Anolis sagrei: one gene and its partners. The protein of the gene in region 3 interacts with the protein of the main gene of each other region in a pairwise test. Links are inferred from orthologs where the notes say so. Each region holds a gene or a part of one and is shown on either strand. Other genes may lie near its edges.

What was found. The genes of interacting proteins can lie anywhere in the genome.
Region 1: the proteins of FSD2 (region 3) and SPATC1L interact in binary tests that used the Homo sapiens proteins (3 or more experiments, as listed by UniProt). The two-hybrid records come from large-scale screens. The link is inferred for Anolis sagrei from reciprocal best matches to the Homo sapiens genes FSD2 and SPATC1L.
Region 2: the proteins of FSD2 (region 3) and ESD interact in binary tests that used the Homo sapiens proteins (3 or more experiments, as listed by UniProt). The two-hybrid records come from large-scale screens. The link is inferred for Anolis sagrei from reciprocal best matches to the Homo sapiens genes FSD2 and ESD.

Annotation. Positions count from the first base shown.
Region 1 is NC_090021.1:163,078,356-163,086,364, forward strand, and holds the start of SPATC1L (speriolin-like protein), read left to right. Parts: upstream 1-5,007; intron 5,008-6,186; exon of another isoform or gene 6,187-6,654; 5' UTR 6,655-6,667; coding exon 6,668-6,854; intron 6,855-6,885; exon of another isoform or gene 6,886-7,008; coding exon of another isoform or gene 7,009-7,027; intron 7,028-8,009.
Region 2 is NC_090021.1:140,294,631-140,301,692, forward strand, and holds the start of ESD (S-formylglutathione hydrolase), read left to right. Parts: upstream 1-3,999; 5' UTR 4,000-4,132; intron 4,133-7,062. Other genes in the region: NHLRC3 (NHL repeat-containing protein 3), read right to left, coding at 3,757-3,903.
Region 3 is NC_090029.1:32,404,441-32,411,968, forward strand, and holds the start of FSD2 (fibronectin type III and SPRY domain-containing protein 2), read right to left. Parts: upstream 3,029-7,528; 5' UTR 2,913-3,028; intron 1-2,912.

The sequences.
Region 1 (8,009 bases), on a different chromosome or scaffold from region 3:
CCCCCTCCATGGCTGAGGCCTTCTCCGCTCGCCTCCTGCGCCCGCCGCCTTCGGGGGACGCCAGAGGCGACTGGGAGGCCCCCTCCATGGCTGAGGCCTTCTCCGCTCGCCTCCTGCGCCCGCCGCCTTCGGGGGACGCCAGAGGCGACTGGGAGGCCCCCTCCATGGCTGAGGCCTTCTCCGCTCGCCTCCTGCGCCCGCCGCCTTCGGGGGACGCGAGAGGCGACTGGGAGGCCCCCTCCATGGCCGAGGCCTTCCCCGCTCGCCTCCTGCGCCCGCCGCCTTCGGGGGACGCGAGAGGCGACTGGGAGGCCCCCTCCATGGCTGCAGCCATGAAAGAGGCCTTCTCCGCTCGCCTCCTGCGCCCGCCGCCTTCGGGGGACGCCAGAGGCGACTGGGAGGCCCCCTCCATGGCTGAGGCCTTCTCCGCTCGCCTCCTGCGCCCGCCGCCTTCGGGGGACGCCAGAGGCGACTGGGAGGCCCCCTCCATGGCTGAGGCCTTCTCCGCTCGCCTCCTGCGCCCGCCGCCTTCGGGGGACGCCAGAGGCGACTGGGAGGCCCCCTCCATGGCTGAGGCCTTCTCCGCTCGCCTCCTGCGCCCGCCGCCTTCGGGGGACGCCAGAGGCGACTGGGAGGCCCCCTCCATGGCTGAGGCCTTCTCCGCTCGCCTCCTGCGCCCGCCGCCTTCGGGGGACGCCAGAGGCGACTGGGAGGCCCCCTCCATGGCTGAGGCCTTCTCCGCTCGCCTCCTGCACCCTCCGCCTTCGGGGGACGCGAGAGGCGACTGGGAGGCCCCCTCCATGGCTGAGGCCTTCTCCGCTCGCCTCCTGCGCCCGCCGCCTTCGGGGGACGCCAGAGGCGACTGGGAGGCCCCCTCCATGGCTGAGGCCTTCTCCGCTCGCCTCCTGCGCCCGCCGCCTTCGGGGGACGCCAGAGGCGACTGGGAGGCCCCCTCCATGGCTGAGGCCTTCTCCGCTCGCCTCCTGCACCCTCCGCCTTCGGGGGACGCGAGAGGCGACTGGGAGGCCCCCTCCATGGCTGAGGCCTTCTCCGCTCGCCTCCTGCGCCCGCCGCCTTCGGGGGACGCCAGAGGCGACTGGGAGGCCCCCTCCATGGCTGAGGCCTTCTCCGCTCGCCTCCTGCGCCCGCCGCCTTCGGGGGACGCGAGAGGCGACTGGGAGGCCCCCTCCATGGCTGAGGCCTTCTCCGCTCGCCTCCTGCGCCCTCCGCCTTCGGGGGACGCCAGAGGCGACTGGGAGGCCCCCTCCATGGCTGAGGCCTTCTCCGCTCGCCTCCTGCGCCCGCCGCCTTCGGGGGACGCCAGAGGCGACTGGGAGGCCCCCTCCATGGCTGAGGCCTTCTCCGCTCGCCTCCTGCGCCCGCCGCCTTCGGGGGACGCCAGAGGCGACTGGGAGGCCCCCTCCATGGCTGAGGCCTTCTCCGCTCGCCTCCTGCGCCCGCCGCCTTCGGGGGACGCCAGAGGCGACTGGGAGGCCCCCTCCATGGCTGAGGCCTTCCCCGCTCGCCTCCTGCGCCCTCCGCCTTCGGGGGACGCGAGAGGCGACTGGGAGGCCCCCTCCATGGCCGAGGCCTTCCCCGCTCGCCTCCCGCGCCCGCCGCCTTCGGGGGACGCGAGAGGCGACCTGGAGGCCCCCTCCATGGCTGAGGCCTTCTCCGCTCGCCTCCTGCGCCCGCCGCCTTCGGGGGACGCCAGAGGCGACTGGGAGGCCCCCTCCATGGCTGAGGCCTTCTCCGCTCGCCTCCTGCGCCCGCCGCCTTCGGGGGACGCCAGAGGCGACTGGGAGGCCCCCTCCATGGCTGAGGCCTTCTCCGCTCGCCTCCTGCGCCCGCCGCCTTCGGGGGACGCGAGAGGCGACTGGGAGGCCCCCTCCATGGCCGAGGCCTTCCCCGCTCGCCTCCTGCGCCCGCCGCCTTCGGGGGACGCGAGAGGCGACTGGGAGGCCCCCTCCATGGCTGCAGCCATGAAAGAGGCCTTCTCCGCTCGCCTCCTGCGCCCGCCGCCTTCGGGGGACGCCAGAGGCGACTGGGAGGCCCCCTCCATGGCTGAGGCCTTCTCCGCTCGCCTCCTGCGCCCGCCGCCTTCGGGGGACGCCAGAGGCGACTGGGAGGCCCCCTCCATGGCTGAGGCCTTCTCCGCTCGCCTCCTGCGCCCGCCGCCTTCGGGGGATGCCAGAGGCGACTGGGAGGCCCCCTCCATGGCTGAGGCCTTCTCCGCTCGCCTCCTGCGCCCGCCGCCTTCGGGGGACGCCAGAGGCGACTGGGAGGCCCCCTCCATGGCTGAGGCCTTCTCCGCTCGCCTCCTGCACCCTCCGCCTTCGGGGGACGCGAGAGGCGACTGGGAGGCCCCCTCCATGGCTGAGGCCTTCTCCGCTCGCCTCCTGCGCCCGCCGCCTTCGGGGGACGCCAGAGGCGACTGGGAGGCCCCCTCCATGGCTGAGGCCTTCTCCGCTCGCCTCCTGCGCCCGCCGCCTTCGGGGGACGCCAGAGGCGACTGGGAGGCCCCCTCCATGGCTGAGGCCTTCTCCGCTCGCCTCCTGCACCCTCCGCCTTCGGGGGACGCGAGAGGCGACTGGGAGGCCCCCTCCATGGCTGAGGCCTTCTCCGCTCGCCTCCTGCGCCCGCCGCCTTCGGGGGACGCCAGAGGCGACTGGGAGGCCCCCTCCATGGCTGAGGCCTTCTCCGCTCGCCTCCTGCGCCCGCCGCCTTCGGGGGACGCCAGAGGCGACTGGGAGGCCCCCTCCATGGCTGAGGCCTTCTCCGCTCGCCTCCTGCGCCCGCCGCCTTCGGGGGACGCGAGAGGCGACTGGGAGGCCCCCTCCATGGCCGAGGCCTTCCCCGCTCGCCTCCTGCGCCCGCCGCCTTCGGGGGACGCGAGAGGCGACTGGGAGGCCCCCTCCATGGCTGCAGCCATGAAAGAGGCCTTCTCCGCTCGCCTCCTGCGCCCGCCGCCTTCGGGGGACGCCAGAGGCGACTGGGAGGCCCCCTCCATGGCTGAGGCCTTCTCCGCTCGCCTCCTGCGCCCGCCGCCTTCGGGGGACGCCAGAGGCGACTGGGAGGCCCCCTCCATGGCTGAGGCCTTCTCCGCTCGCCTCCTGCGCCCGCCGCCTTCGGGGGACGCCAGAGGCGACTGGGAGGCCCCCTCCATGGCTGAGGCCTTCTCCGCTCGCCTCCTGCGCCCGCCGCCTTCGGGGGACGCCAGAGGCGACTGGGAGGCCCCCTCCATGGCTGAGGCCTTCTCCGCTCGCCTCCTGCGCCCGCCGCCTTCGGGGGACGCCAGAGGCGACTGGGAGGCCCCCTCCATGGCTGAGGCCTTCTCCGCTCGCCTCCTGCACCCTCCGCCTTCGGGGGACGCGAGAGGCGACTGGGAGGCCCCCTCCATGGCTGAGGCCTTCTCCGCTCGCCTCCTGCGCCCGCCGCCTTCGGGGGACGCCAGAGGCGACTGGGAGGCCCCCTCCATGGCTGAGGCCTTCTCCGCTCGCCTCCTGCGCCCGCCGCCTTCGGGGGACGCCAGAGGCGACTGGGAGGCCCCCTCCATGGCTGAGGCCTTCTCCGCTCGCCTCCTGCACCCTCCGCCTTCGGGGGACGCGAGAGGCGACTGGGAGGCCCCCTCCATGGCTGAGGCCTTCTCCGCTCGCCTCCTGCGCCCGCCGCCTTCGGGGGACGCCAGAGGCGACTGGGAGGCCCCCTCCATGGCTGAGGCCTTCTCCGCTCGCCTCCTGCGCCCGCCGCCTTCGGGGGACGCGAGAGGCGACTGGGAGGCCCCCTCCATGGCTGAGGCCTTCTCCGCTCGCCTCCTGCGCCCTCCGCCTTCGGGGGACGCCAGAGGCGACTGGGAGGCCCCCTCCATGGCTGAGGCCTTCTCCGCTCGCCTCCTGCGCCCGCCGCCTTCGGGGGACGCCAGAGGCGACTGGGAGGCCCCCTCCATGGCTGAGGCCTTCTCCGCTCGCCTCCTGCGCCCGCCGCCTTCGGGGGACGCCAGAGGCGACTGGGAGGCCCCCTCCATGGCTGAGGCCTTCTCCGCTCGCCTCCTGCGCCCGCCGCCTTCGGGGGACGCCAGAGGCGACTGGGAGGCCCCCTCCATGGCTGAGGCCTTCTCCGCTCGCCTCCTGCGCCCGCCGCCTTCGGGGGACGCCAGAGGCGACTGGGAGGCCCCCTCCATGGCTGAGGCCTTCTCCGCTCGCCTCCTGCACCCTCCGCCTTCGGGGGACGCGAGAGGCGACTGGGAGGCCCCCTCCATGGCTGAGGCCTTCTCCGCTCGCCTCCTGCGCCCGCCGCCTTCGGGGGACGCCAGAGGCGACTGGGAGGCCCCCTCCATGGCTGAGGCCTTCTCCGCTCGCCTCCTGCACCCTCCGCCTTCGGGGGACGCGAGAGGCGACTGGGAGGCCCCCTCCATGGCTGAGGCCTTCTCCGCTCGCCTCCTGCGCCCGCCGCCTTCGGGGGACGCCAGAGGCGACTGGGAGGCCCCCTCCATGGCTGAGGCCTTCTCCGCTCGCCTCCTGCGCCCGCCGCCTTCGGGGGACGCGAGAGGCGACTGGGAGGCCCCCTCCATGGCTGAGGCCTTCTCCGCTCGCCTCCTGCGCCCTCCGCCTTCGGGGGACGCGAGAGGCGACTGGGAGGCCCCCTCCATGGCTGAGGCCTTCTCCGCTCGCCTCCTGCGCCCGCCGCCTTCGGAGGACGCGAGAGGCGACTGGGAGGCCCCCTCCATGGCTGAGGCCATGAAAGAGGCCTTCCCCGCTCGCCTCCTGCGCCCTCCGCCGTCGGAGGACGCGAGGGGCGACTGGGAGGCCCCTTGCATGGCTGACGCCTTCTCCGCTCGCCTCCTGCGCCCTCCGCCTTCGGGGGACGCGAGAGGCGACTGGTAGGCCCCCTCCATGGCTGAGGCCTTCTCCGCTCGCCTCCTGCGCCCTCGAGCCTGTGAAGGGGCGAGGGTCTCCCAGCCGTCTTTCCCCTGTCCAGGCAGCAAAGAAGGCTCTTCAGAAACTGAAGGTAGGACAAATCTAATCTTTTGTTAATACCTCCCCCAAATCCCTCCAATATTTTCTGTGGGTCATGGAAGTCCTATATGCCAAGTTTGGTTCAATTCTATTGTTGGTGTAGTTCAGAATGCTCTTTGGTGCCTGGTGAACTATAATTCACACAATTGCAATTCCCAAATGTCAGGGTCTTTTTTTCCCAACCCCTCCAGTATTTTCCGTGGGCCATGAAAGTCCTGTATGCCAAGTTTGGTTCAATTCTATTGTTGGTGTAGTTCAGAATGCTCTTTGGTGCCTGGTGAACTATAATTCACACAAGTGCAATTCCCAAAAAGTCAGAGCTGAATCGGTTGGCGGTAATTCCAATCCCTTCATCCATTGTCCATACTCCCCCAATCATACTGTTTTTATCATTAATCACTATGCTTTAATTATGTTCAATTTGTAACAATGGAAATACATTCTGCATATCAGATGTTTACATTACAATTCATAACAGTACAGTTATGACGTAGCAACAAAAATATGGTTGGGGGTCACCACAACATGAGGAACTATATTAGGGGTCATGGCATTAGGAAGGTTGAGAACCACTGGTCTAGAGGCATTTTCTCCTGACGTTTCGCCTGCATCTATGGCAAGGATCCTTAGAGATAGTGAACTCTGTTGGAAGTAGGAAAATGGGTTTATATATCTGTGGAATGACCAGGGTGTGACAAAGGACTTTTGTATGCTGGAACTAGGTGTGAATGTTTCAACTGACCACCTTGATTAGCATTTAATGGCTTGGAAGTGCCTGGGGGAATCTTTTGTTGAGAGGTGATTTGATGTGCCTGATTGTTTACTCTCTGTTGTTTTGCTGTTGTAATTTTAGAGGTTTTTTTAGTACTGGTAGCCAGATTTTGTTCATTTTAATGGTTTCTTCCTTTCTGTTGAAATTGTCCACATGCTTGTGGATTTCAGTGGCCTCTCTGTGTAGTCTGACATGGTGGTTGTGAGAGTGGTCCAGCATTTCTGTGCTCTCAAATAAAATGCCATGTCCAGGTTGGTTCATCAGGTGCTCTGCTATGGCTGACTTCTCTGGTTGAAGGAGTCTGCAGTGCCTTTCTTGTTCCTTGATTCGTGTTTGGCCAATGCTGCTGCGTTTGGTGGTCCCTATGTAGACTTATCCACAGCTGCATGGTACACAGTAGACTCCTGCAGAAGTGAGAGGGTCCCTCTTGTCCTTTGCTGAACGTAGCATTTGTTGGATTTTCTTGGTGGGTCTGTAGATAGTTTGTATGTTGTGTTTCCTCATCAGCTTCCCTATGCGGTCAGTGGTTCCTTTGATGTATGGCAAGAACACTTTTCCTCTGGGTGGATCTTCATCTCTACTCTCGTGTCTTGTTCTTGGTCGTGCAGCTCTTCTGATGTCTGAGGTGGAGTATCCATTGGTCTGTAGAGCCCAGTTGAGGTGGTTCAGTTCATCTTGCTCAACTTAAATCACCCTGGCAGAGTGATTGAAGTTGAGCGGCAGCATTCTCTTAAGTGTTCTGGTGACCTCATAATGTTGTAGAAACATTCTAATCTGGCTGAGTTTTCTGTGAGCCTTTAAAAGCACTGGGACAAGTGACCTGTCCAGCTAAGGTCCTCTCTTAAATATTGACCCTTCCTCACCAAGGAGGAAGAAAAGAATGTCTGGGGAGAGAGAGTGGTTGAAAAGAATTCAGGAAGAAAATGCACACCTGAAAAATCAGATCAGGCTGTTTAAAGAAAACTACGAATTACGCTTATTGTTGGGTCAGCAGGGCAACCATGTCCAGTCATCAGCACCTCAGAATCCTTCTGTGTATCCCGAACCCGGTTCAGTGTTAAAAGGAGGTGAGAAGTAACCCTTTTGATTTTCTCAAAGCAGTACCTATCAAGCTTTCAATGAAGAATTTAAAAGCCAAAGAATATAGAAATGGCGGCAGTGCCATTGGTGCCACTTGTCTATAGTCAAGGTTCAAACCAATGGCCCACACGTATGAGTTGAATGCTACAATGCCTAGGAAGTAAGTCCCATCAATCAACATACATTGGTTGGGCTGTGAATAATCTGAGGGATCATTGCTCACTTTTGGCGTTATGATTTGAAACGATCTTAAAGTTTGGATATTTAATAAAACAATAATGTTTATGAAATTAAATTTCAATAAAATAATGACATCACAACTGTGAAAGCAAAGAAAACAAAATACACACAGGATTAAAACACAGAAAACAGATACAGGGCATAGGGTTACAGCCTGTGCTGGATGGGGTCGCACTCCCCCTGAAAGCGCAGGTTCGCAGCTTGGGTGTGATCCTGGATTCATCGCTGAGCCTGCGGTGACCAGGGGAGCATTTGCACAGCTAAGGCTCGTGCACCAGCTGCGCCCGTACCTTGGGAAGTCTGACTTGGCCATGGTAGTCCACGCTCTGGTTACATCCCGTTTAGACTACTGCAACGCTCTCTACGTGGGGTTGCCTTTGAAGATGGCCCGGAAGCTTCAATTAGTCCAACGTGCGGCAGCCATGTTACTTACAGGAGCGGGACGCAGGGAGCACACAACCCCCTTGTTGTACCAGCTCCACTGGCTGCCGATTTGCTACCGGGCCTATTTCAAGGTGCTGGCGTTGGCCTATAAAGCCTTAAACGGTTCCGGCCCAAGATACCTATCCGACCGCATCTCGACCTACGAGCCCACCAGGACTTATCTTCCGGGGAGGCCCTGCTCTCGATCCCGCCTGCTTCACAAGCACGGCTGGCGGGGACGAGAGATAGGGCCTTCTCGGTGGTGGTCCCTCGGCTGTGGAACACCCTTCCCCTGGACAGGCTCCTTCCCTGTTGATATTCCGCAGAAAATTAAAAACCTGGTTGTTCAAGAAGGCGTTCGAACAAGAAGTGCAATGATTGGTAATGACTATAGGAATGGAATAACGGAAATGATATGGGATTGTGGTTTGGACGATGAGACGACGCTGAATGGTTTCGTAGTAATGACAATGTTTTGT
Region 2 (7,062 bases), on a different chromosome or scaffold from region 3:
CATCTAATCACCTTTCAAGAAGAGTTTGCTCCAGGCACTGTCAGCCCATTGTATGCTAATCAAGGTGGTCAGTTGAAAAGATTCACACCTAGCCCAACTTACAAAAGCCTTTTGTCTCACCCTGGTCATTCCACAGATATATAAACCCCCTTTTCCCAGCTCCAGCAGACCTCTGAGGATGCTTGCCATAGATGCAGGCGAAACGTCAGGAGAAATGCCTCTAGAACATGGCCATATAGCCCGAAAAAATCCACAAGAACTGCATGAATGAATTCCTATGCACACTGCACATATCTTATTTGTAGTGCAAAAGACATTTAAAAACAATACAATAATTAAAATGAAGAACAATTTAAACAAATATAAACTTATTAGTATTTCAATGGAAAGTGTGGGCCTGCTTTTGGCTGATGAGATAGGGTTGTTGTTATTGTTGTGTGCTTTCAAGTCATTTCAGACAGGTTGACCTTGAGCGAGGGCTGGGTAAATGACCTTGGAGGGCCGCATCCGGCCCCCAGGCCATAGTTTGAGGACCCCTGGTGTAGATGAAGCCAGAGAGTAGTGTATAATGTCTTATTGAAGAGCTTTGGAAAATGTCTTCTAACATTTTGACTGGACCTAATAAAGACACCAGATGGCTGTGGGTTCCACACAGTTTCCCATTCATCAGTCAGTCTAGGTAACAAATCATGTGAATTATCCGTGCATATAAATAAGGCCCCTTCTAACTGCCATATAAAATCCAGGTTGTCTAATTTGAACTGGATTAAAAGGCAGTTTAGACTCATATAATCCAGTTCAAAACAGAGAATTTGGATTTATATTTAAAGACCTGCATGGTTTGGGTTATATTGCCATATTATCCGGGTTATCAAAGCAGATAATCACATTATCGGCTTTGAATTGGATTATATGAGTCTACACTGCCATATGATCCAGTTCAAAGCAGATAATCTGAATTTTGTGTGGCAGTATAGATGGGGACTTAGTGTCTATTTTACTTTATTTCAACTGGGAGATTTCATGAGGGAGTCTGTGGGGAAGGGCGATTTATTTTAGTGTCTGTTTTACTTTAACTGGAAGGTTTTGAAGTTGTAAAAAAATTAAAAGGGGGTTGTGAGAACCATCTGTCCAATTGGCCATACATCAGCAAAATCCTGGAATAGGTGGTGGCCAGACAACTCCAGGGGTTGTTGGAAGTTACTGATTTCTTAAACTCATTTCCATCTGGCTTCAGGCCTGGAGATGGAACAGAGATGACTTTGGATGATCTACATGGAGAACTATATAAGAGGACTGTGATCTATTTGGTTCTCCTTGACCTCTCAGTGGCTTTTGATATCATCGACAATAGTATCTTTCTGGAAGGACTGATAGGAATAGGCCTGAGAGGCACTGTTCTGCAGTGGTCCCAGTCCTTTCTCTCAGACTGCAGTCAGAAGGTGGTGCTGGGGAAGCCCTGTTCAAACTATGGCTGTTGGACTGTGGGGTCCCGCAGGGCTCATCACTTTCCCTATGTTATTTAACATCTACATGAAACCGCTGGGAGAGATCATCTGGAGTTTTAGAGTTCAGTATCACTTGTATGAAGATGATGCTGAACTCTACTATTGCTTTTCACCAGATAATACCATGAAAGCTGTGCTGCGATTAAAACCAGTGCCTCAAGGCAGTAATGGGCTGAATGAGGCTAAACAAATTGAAACTGAATCCAGACAAGACAAAAGTACTACTGGTCTCATGTAGGATGAATCCGGGAATAGGGGTACAACTCCAGAGCTGGACTGGGTTACATTCTCCCGAAAGCTCAGGTTCACAGTTTGAGGGTATTTCTGGATTGCTCTTTAAACCTGGAAGCCCAGGTGGTGGAGGTTCCCAGGATCATCTTTGCACAACTCAAACTGGTGAGCCAACGGTGGGCATTCCTAGAAAAATCTGACCTGGACACTTTGGTACATGCCTTGGTTACATTCCACCTGGATTACTGTAATGTGCTCTATGTGGGACTGCGTTTGAAAACAGTTCGAAAACTTCAATTTGTTCAAAAATTGGCAGCCAAGTTGCTAATGGGAGCAGATATAAGAGAATGTACTATCCGCTCCTGAAACAGCTGCATTGGTCCATGCCTGAGTCACATCTCGTATAAATTACTACAATGCAGTCTACGTGGGGCTGCCTATGAAGACAGTCTGGAAGCTTCAAATAGCTCAAAGATCTGCATCCAAACTGCTGACCGGAGTGGACTGTAGGGAATATATGACCCCCCCCCCTCTTGAAGCAGCTCCATTGCTTGCTGATCTGCTTCTAGGCCCTATTCAAAGTGCAGGTTATTACCTACAAAACCCTATATAGTTTGGGTACTACCTATTTACGTGATCACATCTCTCCTGATAAACCTGTTCAGGCCCTAAGATCAGCCGAGGACGCCCTCCTCTCAATTCTACCTCCCTCACAAGTGAGGTCGGTGGGGACAAGGGAGTGGGCCTTCTCGGTAGTGACCCCCCAACTTTGGAATGCCTTCCCCAAGGAAATTAGACAAGCACTAACCCTCAAAACTTTCAGGAAGGAGTTGAAAACCTGGCTATTTAAGCAGGCTTTTGATAATGGCTAAGACTATCAACCACCTTATCGGACAGGACTTTAAATGGTAATTAGAACTATAATTTATAATGCTGGATACCCCGATCATAGGAATTGGCTGGTTTTAAACAGTGTTTATATAGATACTGTTTTTAGTGGGCGAAATGTTGCAAATTGGCCACCTTGATTAGCATTAAATGGCTTTGCAGCTTCAAAGCCTGGCTGTTTCCTGCCCAGGGAATCCTTTATTTCACAGATATATAAACCTCATTTGCCTATTTTCCAGCAGACCTCACAACCTCTGAGGATGCCTGCCATAGTTGTGTGTGAAACGTCAGGAGAGAATGCTTCTGGAATGTGGCCATACAGCCCGAAAAGCTCACAGCAGCCCAGTGATTCCAGCCATGACACATTAAGGTAAAGGCAAAGGTAGTCCCCTGACATTAAGTCCAGTCATGTCTGACTCTGGGGTGTGGTGCTCATCTCCATTTCTAAGCCGAAGAGCCAGCGTTGTCCGTAGACACCTCCAAGGTCATGTGGCCGGCATGACTGCATGGAGCGCCGTTACCTTCCCGCCGGAGCGGTACCTATTGATCTACTCACATTTGCATGTTTTTGAACTGCTAGGTTGGCAGGAGCTAGGGCTGACAGCGGAAGCTCACACCGCTCTCCGGAATCGAACCTGCGACCTTTCGATCAACAAGCTCAGCAGCTCAGTGCTTTAACCCACTGCGCCACCGGGGGCTCCGCAGTGGCTCCATGACACATTATCTGGGTGGTTTTTAAGGTATTATATTGGGGGTTTACATAGTGTTCCACACTAATTATACATTAGTATAATTTGTGTGAAATAACATAATATGTATGGGTTTAACTTGGTTTTAATTTTCATATTGTATGTTTTTACTGCCTGTGAGCCGCCTTGGGCCCTTGACTGGGGAAAGGCGGGGTACCAAATTCATAAATAACAACAATAAATAGCATAGGTTGTTGTGAGGGCGCCTGTCGTCATGGTGACACCCTCTGTCGCCATGGTAACATGCTCTCCCTCACAGGGTGGTCGTGAGACCCTTGAGGAGGGAACACAGGCCACACCTCGATGGCACTGACATCTTTTTTGGCACAATCAATACACATGGGCCCTTGGGAGCATCCTCTTTGTCTTGGCCGACCCACCTGAAGCTCGCTCCCTGCCCTATACGAAGCTAGGACCACAAAGAGGAGGGAGCCCCCCGCAAAGGCCGCCAGCAGCCGGAACCCGGAAACGGAGGGGACCCCCATAGCCAGGCAGCCCGCAGCCCGCTCTCCAGGAGTTCTGCGCATGCTCAGCCACAGAGAACACAGCCCGGAGAGCGAGGCACCTCGGGAAATGGAGTCCTTTTCTCCACCTCTCAAGCCAAAGAAGGGGCGTTGCAGACTACAACTCCCATGCAGCAACAGGAGAGGGGAGAGCTGGAGAAGACTTTGAGTCCAGGGGCCATCAGAGGGCCAGGCGTGTCGATAAAAGGGATTTGCTTCACCCTAAGGCTGTTGATTGATTAAGGACACAAAGGTAAACACAGGAAGAGGCTTTTCCGTGGCTTTGGGTGCATCCACACTGTAGAATTAATGCAGTTTGGAATCACAAGAGCTGCAGTTCCTCCATATCTTTAGCTTTCCCTGCCAAAGAGGGCTGGCGCCAAACTATAGTCCTCATGATTCCATAGCATGAGCCAGGGCAGTGCAAGCGGTATCAAACTGCGTTAATTCTACAGTGTAGATGCCTCCTTAGGTCACTTTCCTGGCTCACTTTGGAAATTTACATTTATGTTGCATTTGACTCGTTTTTAAAAAGTAATTCCCTGCTGTCCATCTCAAAAAAAAAGCCGACATTATTGAGTAATAATAGCTATTTTGGAGCTTCATCTGGCTTTGCTGCTAGGTGGACTTACTTACTTCCTTCCTTCCTTAGGACCCTTTCAGATAGACCCAATATCCCAGGATCTGATCCCAGGTTTCCGCTGTAACTTCAGTTTTATGAGTCTGCACTGCCAGATAATCTGGGATGAACAGAAAAGCTGGGATCAGGTCCTAGGATTGAGATTGATTTCATTGGGATTGATTTCTTGTTGCATTATTTTGTTTTGTTTTACTTTGCTTAGTTTTATTGTATTCCTAAGTTGTTTTGGGAGCCCCCGGTGGCGCAGTGGGTTAAAGCAGAGAGATGCTGAGCTTGTTGACTGAAAGGTCACAGGTTCGAATGCGGGGAGCGGCGTGAGCTTCCGCTGTCAGCCCCAGCTTCTGCCAACCTAGCAGTTCAAAAACATACAAATATGAGTAGACCAATAGGTACTGCTCCGTCAGGAAAGTAATGGCGCTCCATGCAGTCATGCAGGCCACATGACCTTGGAGGTGTCTGTGGACAATGCCGGCTCTTCGGCTTAGAAATGGAGATGAACACCACACCCCAGAGTCGGCCACAACTGGACTTAATGTCATGGGACAACCTTTACCTTAAGTTGTTTTGCTTTTATAATGTATTTTACTGTAATGTATTTCCATTCTTGGCCTCATGTAAGCCTCCCCGAGTCCCTTTGGGGAGATGGTGGCGGGGTATAAATAAAGATTATTATTATTATTTGAAACACAACAAGATGAGTCCACAGCAGACACTCTGCTGGCTGTTGTAGTGGATTACACGTCGGGCACTTCCCAGGTGATGTATTGGTGAATAATGCATTCAGATCCCAGTAAGGTGGCCTTCTGCAGCTAGCAGATGGTAATTGTGTCAGCTCCGATTGTGTTTAAGTGCAGGCCAAGGTGTTTAGGCACTGCACCCAGTGTGCTGATCACTGGGACCACCTTGACTGGCTTGTACCAGAGTCTTTCCAGTTTGATATTTAAATCCTCATATCGTGTCAGCTTTTCCAGTTGTTTCTCTTCAATCCTGCTGTCACCAGGGATTGCAACATCGACAATCCATTATTATTATTATTATTAGGATATAGGGCCTGCTTGGAAGTGCCCTAGATCTGTGCTCCAAAAGGGTTTATAATCCGAAACAGGCAATTTATGCCCCATTACACTGCCCTATAAAATCCATATTATCTGCTTTGAACTGGATTATATGGCAGTGTAAATTAATCTAATACAGTTAAAAATAGATAATCTGGATTTTATATGGAAATGTAGATGAGGCCATAGGTAATATCGGAAGGAGAAGTGGTTGGGAGGTGTGAATGTAAGTTAATACATAAGTGGTTTTAATAACACTATGTAACATGGGTTTGTTCCTGGGTTATAAATGTCATTTCCTAATTGGGTCTATCACAACAACATGGGAAAAGTTTATTAAACTGCCAAAACTTTGTTTGTGTGGGAGATCCTGCTGCACATTTTGCTCTAGTTTTTCATTGAATCTCAACCAGTTCAGCATAGCTTGTGGCAGCCACAAAAACGAAATTCCTGGAGTAGAACAACTACTTTCAAAGTAAGCACCATGCAGTTAAACAGGAAATAACACTTTCAAACCAGAGACAGAAAATGTTTCAAATTTTGTTACATAATGTAATCGAAAAGAAAGGCTAGACTTGTGTGTGGTACGAAAGCAGAGTGAGTGGAAAGAGATAGTAAGCTATTTTTAAAAACTCAGTAGAGTTCATGCAGACATGAGCAACTAAAGGCTGCTTAAGAAGCACAAACTGTTGCTGGGTGAGGCAAAGTAATGAAGCACCCTTCCATCTGTATCTGCAGGACATATATGTCTCTATTTGTGTGTACTAAGACATACAACTAAGAATAGATGCTGTAGTGAAAATGGATTGTGGTGATCTTTTCCCTTTCAGTAAATTAATCAACTTGGCTGGGTATAGGAGTTTGACTAAATCCTGCTCAGCTTTGTTTTATTCTAGAACAGTGTTTCTCAACCTTCCTAATGCCGCGACCCCTTAATACAGTTCTTCATGTTGTGGTGGCCCCCAACCATAGAATTATTTTTGTTGCTACTTCACAACTGTAATTTTGCTACTGTTATGAATCATCATATAAATATATGCAGGATGTATTTGATACAAATATGCGATATGCCCATATTGGGGGGGGGGATAATTAATTTTGTCATTTGGGAGTTGTGGTTTCTGGGATTTATAGTACACCTACAATGAAAGAGCATTCTGAACTCCACCAATGAGGGAATTGAACCAAACTTGGTACACAGAACTCCCATGACTAACAGAAAATACTGGAAGGTTTTGGTGGGCATTGACCTTGGGTTTTGGAGTTTTAGTTTGGGAAAAAGAGGCCTTGACATTTGGGAGCCGTAGTTGCTGGGATTTACAGTTCACCTACACTCAAAGTGCCCCTTGAATCCCACCAATGATAGAATTGGGCCAAACTTCCCACATAGAACCCCCATGATCAACAGAAAATACTGCAGGGATTTGGGAGGAATTGACAGTGAGTTAGGAGCGATGTAGTTCACATACCTCCGGAAAACACTGTGTT
Region 3 (7,528 bases):
AAGTCACAGGGAACTGCTGTGCTTCTCTGTATCTCAGATAGGAAAGCCAATATCACAGCATACGATACTGGAAGAAAAGACCAAACCGTGTCTGTTGTCAAAGGCTTTCATGGCCAGAATCACTGGGTTGCTGTGAGTTTTCCAGGCTGCCTGGCCATGTTCCAGAAGCATTCTCTCCTGACATTTCATCCACATCTATGGCAGGCATCCTCAGAGGTTGCGAGGTCTGTTGGAAACTAAGCAAGTGAGGTTTATATGTCTATGGAATGTCCAGGGTGGGAGAAAGAACTCTTGTCTGTGTGAGGTAGGTGTGAATGTTGGAACTGGCCATCTTGATTAGCATTTCATGGCCTCTCAGATTCAAAGCCTGGCTGCTTCCTGCCTGAGGATATCCTTTGTTAGGAGGTGTTAACTGGCCCTAATTGTTTCCTGTCTGGAATTCCCTTGTTTTCTGAGTTTTGCTTTTTTTTTTTACTATCTTGATTTTATAGATTTTTAAATACCTGTAGCCAGATTTTGTTCATTTTCATGGTTTCTTCCTTTCTTTTGAAATTGTCCACATACTTGTGGATTTCAATGGTTTCTCTGTGTAGTATGACATAGTGGTTGTGAGAGTGGTCCAGCATTTCTGTGTTCTCAAATAATATGCAGTGTCCAGGCTGGTTCATCAGGTGCTGTGCCATGGCTGACTTCTCTGGCTGAATAAAGAACAACACTCAGAAAACAGGAGAATTCCAGAGTGGAAACAATCAGGGCCAGATAACACCTCCCAACAAAAGATTCCCCCAGGCAGCAACCAGCCAGGCTTTGAAGCTGCAAGGTTATTCAATATGCATGGGCAATCCATGGTTCCAAATGGTCCTAAAGTACTTACAAAACTAGGGGGCACTGGTGCTTTGCTTCTAAAGTGTTGCTAAAGTTCTGGTGATGAAAATATCAGAACTCCAACAACACTTTCAAAATTTGGTTATAAATGGCAGTTCCTAATTGGTTCGGTCATAAAAATCGCCAATAATGAAATAATAATTAAATTTTGGAAGTTTTGTTAGAGTTCTGAAATTTTCACCACTAGAACTTTAGCAACACTTTAGAAGCACAGCACCAGCTTTAGAAACACTTTAAAAGCAAATCATCAGCGCTCTCGAGTTTTGTAAGTACTTTAGAACCATTTAGAACCATGGATTGCCCATGCCTACTATTAAATGCTAATCAAGATGGCCAATTGCAACATTCACACTTGCCTCAAACAGACAAGAGTCCTTTCTCCTATCCTGGACATTCCATAGATATAGAAACCCCACTTGCCTAGTTTCCTACAGACCTCACAACCTCTGAGGATGCTTGCCATATATGTGGGCTAAACGTCAGGAGAAAATGCTTCCAGAACATGGCCATACAGCCTGGAAAACTCACAGCATACAGTGTTTGTTTGTGAGATGGTTTTGAAGCCTGAGCACCCTTCCCTCTCAATTCCCAGCCCAAGCCAGGGTTTAAACATGTTAACTTGTGTGTCGAACCCCCAGTGGTGCCATGGGTTAAACCCTTGTATCAGCAGGAACTGCTAACCGACAGGTCAGCAGTTCGAATCCAGGGAGAGCGGGTTGGGCTCCCTCTGTCAGCTCCAGCTCCTCATGCAGGGACATGAGAGAAGCCTCCCACAAAGATGGTAAATAACATCAAACATCTTGCTGTCCCCTGGGCAACATCCTTGTAGATGGCCAATTCTATCACACCAGAAGTGACTTGCAGTTTCTCAAGTTGCTCCTGATACAAAAACAAAACAAAACAAAAAACCCTTGTGTCGTACTTGTGCAAAAAAAATGTGTCTAGTAAACTGATGATGATATATCCCCATCAATGAATATGGTACTGTACAAAAGTATCCCCCACCCACCCTCCCTACGGTTGCAGATTGAAAGAATATAAAACAGTGGGCCTTTCTGGAGAGTTCCTTTAGGTGCCTATCATTATACTTACTGTTCCAAACTCACCATTGCAAAGGAGAGAATATAATACACTGCATTTTGGGCTGATCTTATTGCTCAGCAAGAAGTAAAGAAAGCAAAAGACGAGCCTCAAGCAGCCAGAGGCGGCTCCAGGTAATTTTCAACGGTAAGCAAACAGTATTCCCCCCCCCCCCCAACTAATCACTGATATATATATTCTGTTCGTTGTGGGAGTTCTGTGTGCCATATTTGGTTCAGTTCCATCATTGGTGGAGTTCAGAATGCTCTTTGATTATAGGTGAACTATACATCCCAGTAACTACAACTCGCATATGTACGGTCTATTTTCCCCAAAGAGCACCTCAAGAGCGCCCCTGGACAAAATCAACTATACTGCAAATGCTTACTTCGCGTAATGGGTTGAGCTGCCCCTGCAAGCAGACAGGGGTAAACTTGGAGCTAGAAATAGAGCTGCAATCACACGTGAAGCAATGACCAAGGTTTGAAAATTGTAGCCCTAGGAACCTTCATTTTAGAAGTCCACAAGATGGCCTTCCAGTTAAACCAGCTTTTAAAAAAAAAAAAACTCAAAAGAACCATTAAATAGCATTGTGAACATAAAGCGACAACACCACATTTCAGAACATGCACATTCTATTTATTGACCATTTACGCAAGGAAGTGCTTTCATATTTACTTATTCCCTTCTTTCGAGCTGCAGTTCATTGAGAAAGAAATCACTGGGCATTTACACCTTAAGGAAGAATGTGTAAAAACAGTTGAAATTAAATTTTGTTTACCCAGCTTTCCAAACATTGATGCAAAGTAGTGGAGAGATACTGCATTCTAGAATAAATTAAAAGACTGATAATATTGCTGTTCAAAAACTTTCTATTTAAGTATCAATGATTGATCATTCTACTTCTATCCCAACAATAACAAAACCTCCTATTTTTCCTAACAAACCTGAATTTTTCATTCGGCAGCCATTCCCTGCTAGCTTTCGACTTCTGAAACCGAAGCCTCACTGCTGTAACTCTAGACGGCTGCTTATCCTAAGCGTAGCATGCATGCGATGAGCAAGAAGAACAAATATAGCCTGGCACCAGCTGTCCTTCAGCAGATGACTTCTTGTGTGTCAGGGAGGAGAATGTCAGACCCAAACAACTCTGGAGAAAAGTTGGGGTTAAAACAGTCATGGGCAAACTTCGGCCCTTCAGGTGTTTGTGACTTCAACTCCCATAATCACTAACAGTCAGTAGGCTGTTAAGAATTATGGGAGTTGAAGCCCAATAAACAGATAGGAAGATACCCTTTGTGTTGAGTGATTTAAATGTCCATAAGTCCTAACATCCCAGATGGCCTGGCTCTTTGCCTTCCGAAGTCTCGTCTGATTTTATTTATCATGTCATCAGCAACCATACCATTGTATTACATATCTAACAGAACAAAACAAACAAACAGATTAAAAAAACCACAAAAAAACCAAAATACAGATTTTGCCAACTTGGTAGTTGATTAAATGTCCTTTGACCAGTATCTGGCCACTTGGAGTGCCTCTGGTGTTGCCGCAAGAAGGTCCTCCATCGTGCATGTGGCGGGGCTCAGGTTGCATTGCAGCAGGTGGTTAGTGGTTTGCTCTTCTCCACACTCGCATGTCGTGGACTCCACTCCGGCGAGTGTCTCTGTAGATCTAAGAAAACTATATCTTGATTTAAGTCGTTGACGTGCTGGCTGATACCCAAACAAGGGATGAGCTGGAGATGTCTCTGCCTTGGTCCTTTCGCTATCGGCTGGTGCAATACCGGCTAGACAGTGTAATTTCTCCAGTGGTGTAGGGCGCAGAAACCCCGTGATAATGCAGCATGTCTCATTAAGAGCCACATCCACTGTTTTAGTGTGGTGAGATGTGTTCCACACTGGGCATGCATACTCAGCAGCAGAGTAGCATAGCGCAAGGGCAGATGTCTTCACTGTGTCTGGTTGTGATCCCCAGGTTGTGCCAGTCAACTTTCGTATGATGTTGTTTCTAGCGCTCACTTTTTGCTTGATAAGAACCATTTATTTATTGTCCATGCAGTGAGTCTTGGTTGAGTCCTTTGTTTACGGATTTACTGGCCCAGGAAATTGGGAAAGCTTCCTGGAGCCATGAGGTGCTGGTTTCATGAAAACGGTGGCTTTTTCCTACATTTTTCAAAATATAGACATACATACACATGAGGAATGAGCAATAGGTTGGGGAATATGAAAGGAATTCATAAGGGGAAATCATGTAGGGTCTAAGGCAGTGTTTCTCAACCGTCCTAATTCTGCGACTCCTTAATACAGTCCAACCATAACATTATTTTGCTACTTCATAACTGTAATTTTGCTCCTGTTATGAATGGTACTGCAATTATCTGATAAGCAGGATGTATTTTCACTGGATCAAATTTAGCACAAATATCCAACATGCCCAAATTAGAATAGTGGTGGAATTGGGAGGAGGGAGGATTGATTGATTTTGTTACTTGGGAGTTGGAGTTGGTGGGATTTATAGCTCACCTACAATCTGAACTCCACCAATGACGGAATTGAACCAAACTTGGCACACAGAACTCCCATGACTAACAGAAAACACTGGAAGGGTTTGGTGGGCATTGACCAATGGTGGATCTGGACCAAACTTGGCACAAACACTCAATATGCCCAAATGTGAACACTGGTGGATTTTGGGGGAAATAGACCTTGACATTTGGGAGTTGTAGTTGCTGGGATTAATAATTAACCTACAATCAAAGAGTATTCTGAATCCCACCAACAATCGAATTGGGCCAAACTTCCTATACAGAACCCCCATGACCAACATAAAATACTGTGTTTCCTGATGGTCTTTGGTGACCCCTCTCACAGCCCCTGGTGACCCCCTCAGGGGTCCTGACCCCCAGGTTGAGAACCACTGGTCTAAGGGCAAATCATGTCAGCTGTCTTTCCCCCCCCCCCCCCAAAGTCCATCAACATTCATAAAAGTTTGAGAAGGTTATTAAAAGTCCATAGGGGTTTGGCAAAGAGTTCATGGGAGTTCCAAAGAGTCCTCAAAAGTTGATAAAAGTACTCAAAGTTCCCAAAAATTGGTGAAAGTTGGCAAAAGTTCATAAAAGTCCTTCGAAAGTTCATGGGAGTTGGAGAAAAGTTTATGAAAGTTCATGGGAAATTGGTGACAGTCCTGGGAGCACTAGAGGTTGGAATGCACTCATTGGAAAGGAAGAAAAAATTACAGATCCAATTCATAGAAGGGCAGAGCGGCCTGCCAGAGATCTGGGGGTCCCAAGGGGTGACCTCAAGGGACTCTCCTGGGGTCAACAGGCTTCTGGACGCACATAAAATGGAAGCAGAACATTGTTGCAGTGTGGAGCCATGGATTGGAGCCAGCTGGACCCAACATGAGGTTTTTGGGACAAAATTGGTTTTCCTGGGGTACAGAGGTCTGTTATGCTAAAAGTAAGATAGCAGTGGGTTGTTGTAGGGTTTTTTGGGCTATATGGCATGTTCTAAAGGCATTTTCTCCTGACGTTTCACCTGCATCTATGGCAAGCATCCTCAGAGGTAGTGAGGTCTGTTGGAACTAGGAAAAAGGGTTTATATATCTGTGGAATGACAAGGGTGGGACAAAGGACTCTTGTCTGCTGGAGCCAGGTGTAAATGTTTCAACTGATCATCAGTAAGATAGCAGTTAGTCTTAGAATTAGTCTAGCAAAAAGATGGCACTGGTTTAGAGCCGATCCGTTGACCCGCAGATATGGGGGCCCAATGGGTTTCCGTATCTGCGGTTCAGAGGAACACAGTTTTGGCCTCCCTGGGACGCTGTAAGAGCATCCCAGGCGAGTCAGCAGGGATATGCGGCTCAGGAAAGGAAAGTTTTATGCTAGGCTTGGGCGGTTTCATTCATTAATTTCGTAATTTGTTATTAATTTGTATTTAAATTAGCTTACGATCCAATATTGAGCCATGCAGGAATAGTGTGAGGAGTAAATTAGATTCGAAACAATTTTTTCAATTTATTTCGTAATTATTTCGTAATTATTTCAAAATTATTTCGTAATTATTTTCGCATGTCTGGTGCAAGTTTTATAGTTGTTGTTTGTTTTATCACACCAACTGTCAACAACAGAGGGAGAGGGAAGCTTCAGAAGTTCCCTCTGTCCCATTTGGAGGGTTTTTTTAGCGTATTGCGCAATCGCGTCCACCATTAACGAATCGATTCGGAATTTTACGAAATTTCGTAAATTTTGAAATTTTTAAAAGCAAAATTTCGGAATTCTTTAAAAAAACGAAACGCGATGGACCCCTAAAAACGAAGTGAGTTTAGAAACAAATTTTTTCTGTTGTTACCCAAGCCTAGTTTATGCTTGTTAATGTTTGAGATAGTAAAAGGACACGATGTATCACTATGAAGAGGAAAAGTGAGTAAAAAGGATACTTCTTTATTAGGGGTTGTTACATTGAAACAGGGGAGTTCAGTTCAGTGAGGAAAAGGGAAGACATAGGTCCTTGCTGTTGGAGCTGCTGCAGGAGCCACAGTCCTTGAAGGGGCCCGAGGCTGTTAGGAATTGTGGGAGTCCAAAACACCTGGAGGGCCCAAGTTTGCTCATGCCTTTTATTTATTTATTTATTTCACAGTTTTCTATACCGAGCTTCTCAACCTCATTGAGGGACTCAGCCCGGTTTCCAGCCATAAAAAACATATACACTCATTAAAATATCATATATCACAATTACAAAAACAACTTTAAAAACACTATATATAAAACTACAGTGGTCAGTCGTCCTATTAAGATGGATCTACATCAGCTTCCATCCAGGGTCCTTTGGTGTTGTCTCATTCATCGAAGGCCTCACTCCACAGCCATGTCTTCACCCGTTTCCTAAATGTTAGGATGGATGGGGCAGTTCTGGCCTCCAGAGGGAGAGAGTTCCAGAGTCGCGGGGCCACCACCGAGAAGGCCCTGTCCCTCATCCCCACCAGCCGCACTTGTGAGGCCGGTGGGACCGAGAGCAGGGCCTCTCCAGATGATCTTAGTAATCTTGATGGTTCGTAGGGGAGAATACGTTCGGAGAGGTAAACAGGGCCGGAGTCGTTTAGGGCTTTATAGGTCAACACCAGCACTTTGAATTGTGCTTGGAAGCTAATCGGCAGCCAGTGGAGCTGGCGTAACGGCGGAGTGGTGTGCTCCCTGTACCCAGCCCCCGTTAGTAATCTGACTCCCGCGCGTTGGACTTGCTGCAGCTTCCGGGCAGTCTTCAAAGGCAACCCCACGTAGAGAGCGTTGCAGTAGTCTAAGCGGGATGTAACCAAAGCGTGTACTACTGTGGTCAATTCAGCCCTCCCAAGGTACGGACGCAGCTGGCGCACAAGTTTTAATTGTGCAAATGCTCCCTTGACCACCGCTGAGACCTGGGGTTCCAGGCTCAGCGATGAATCCAGGAGAACTCCCAGACTGCGTACCTGAGCTTTTAGGGGGAGTGTGACCCCGTCCAGCACAGGCTGTAACCCCGTACCCTGTTCGGTCTTACGACTGACCAGGAGTACCTCTGTCTTGTCT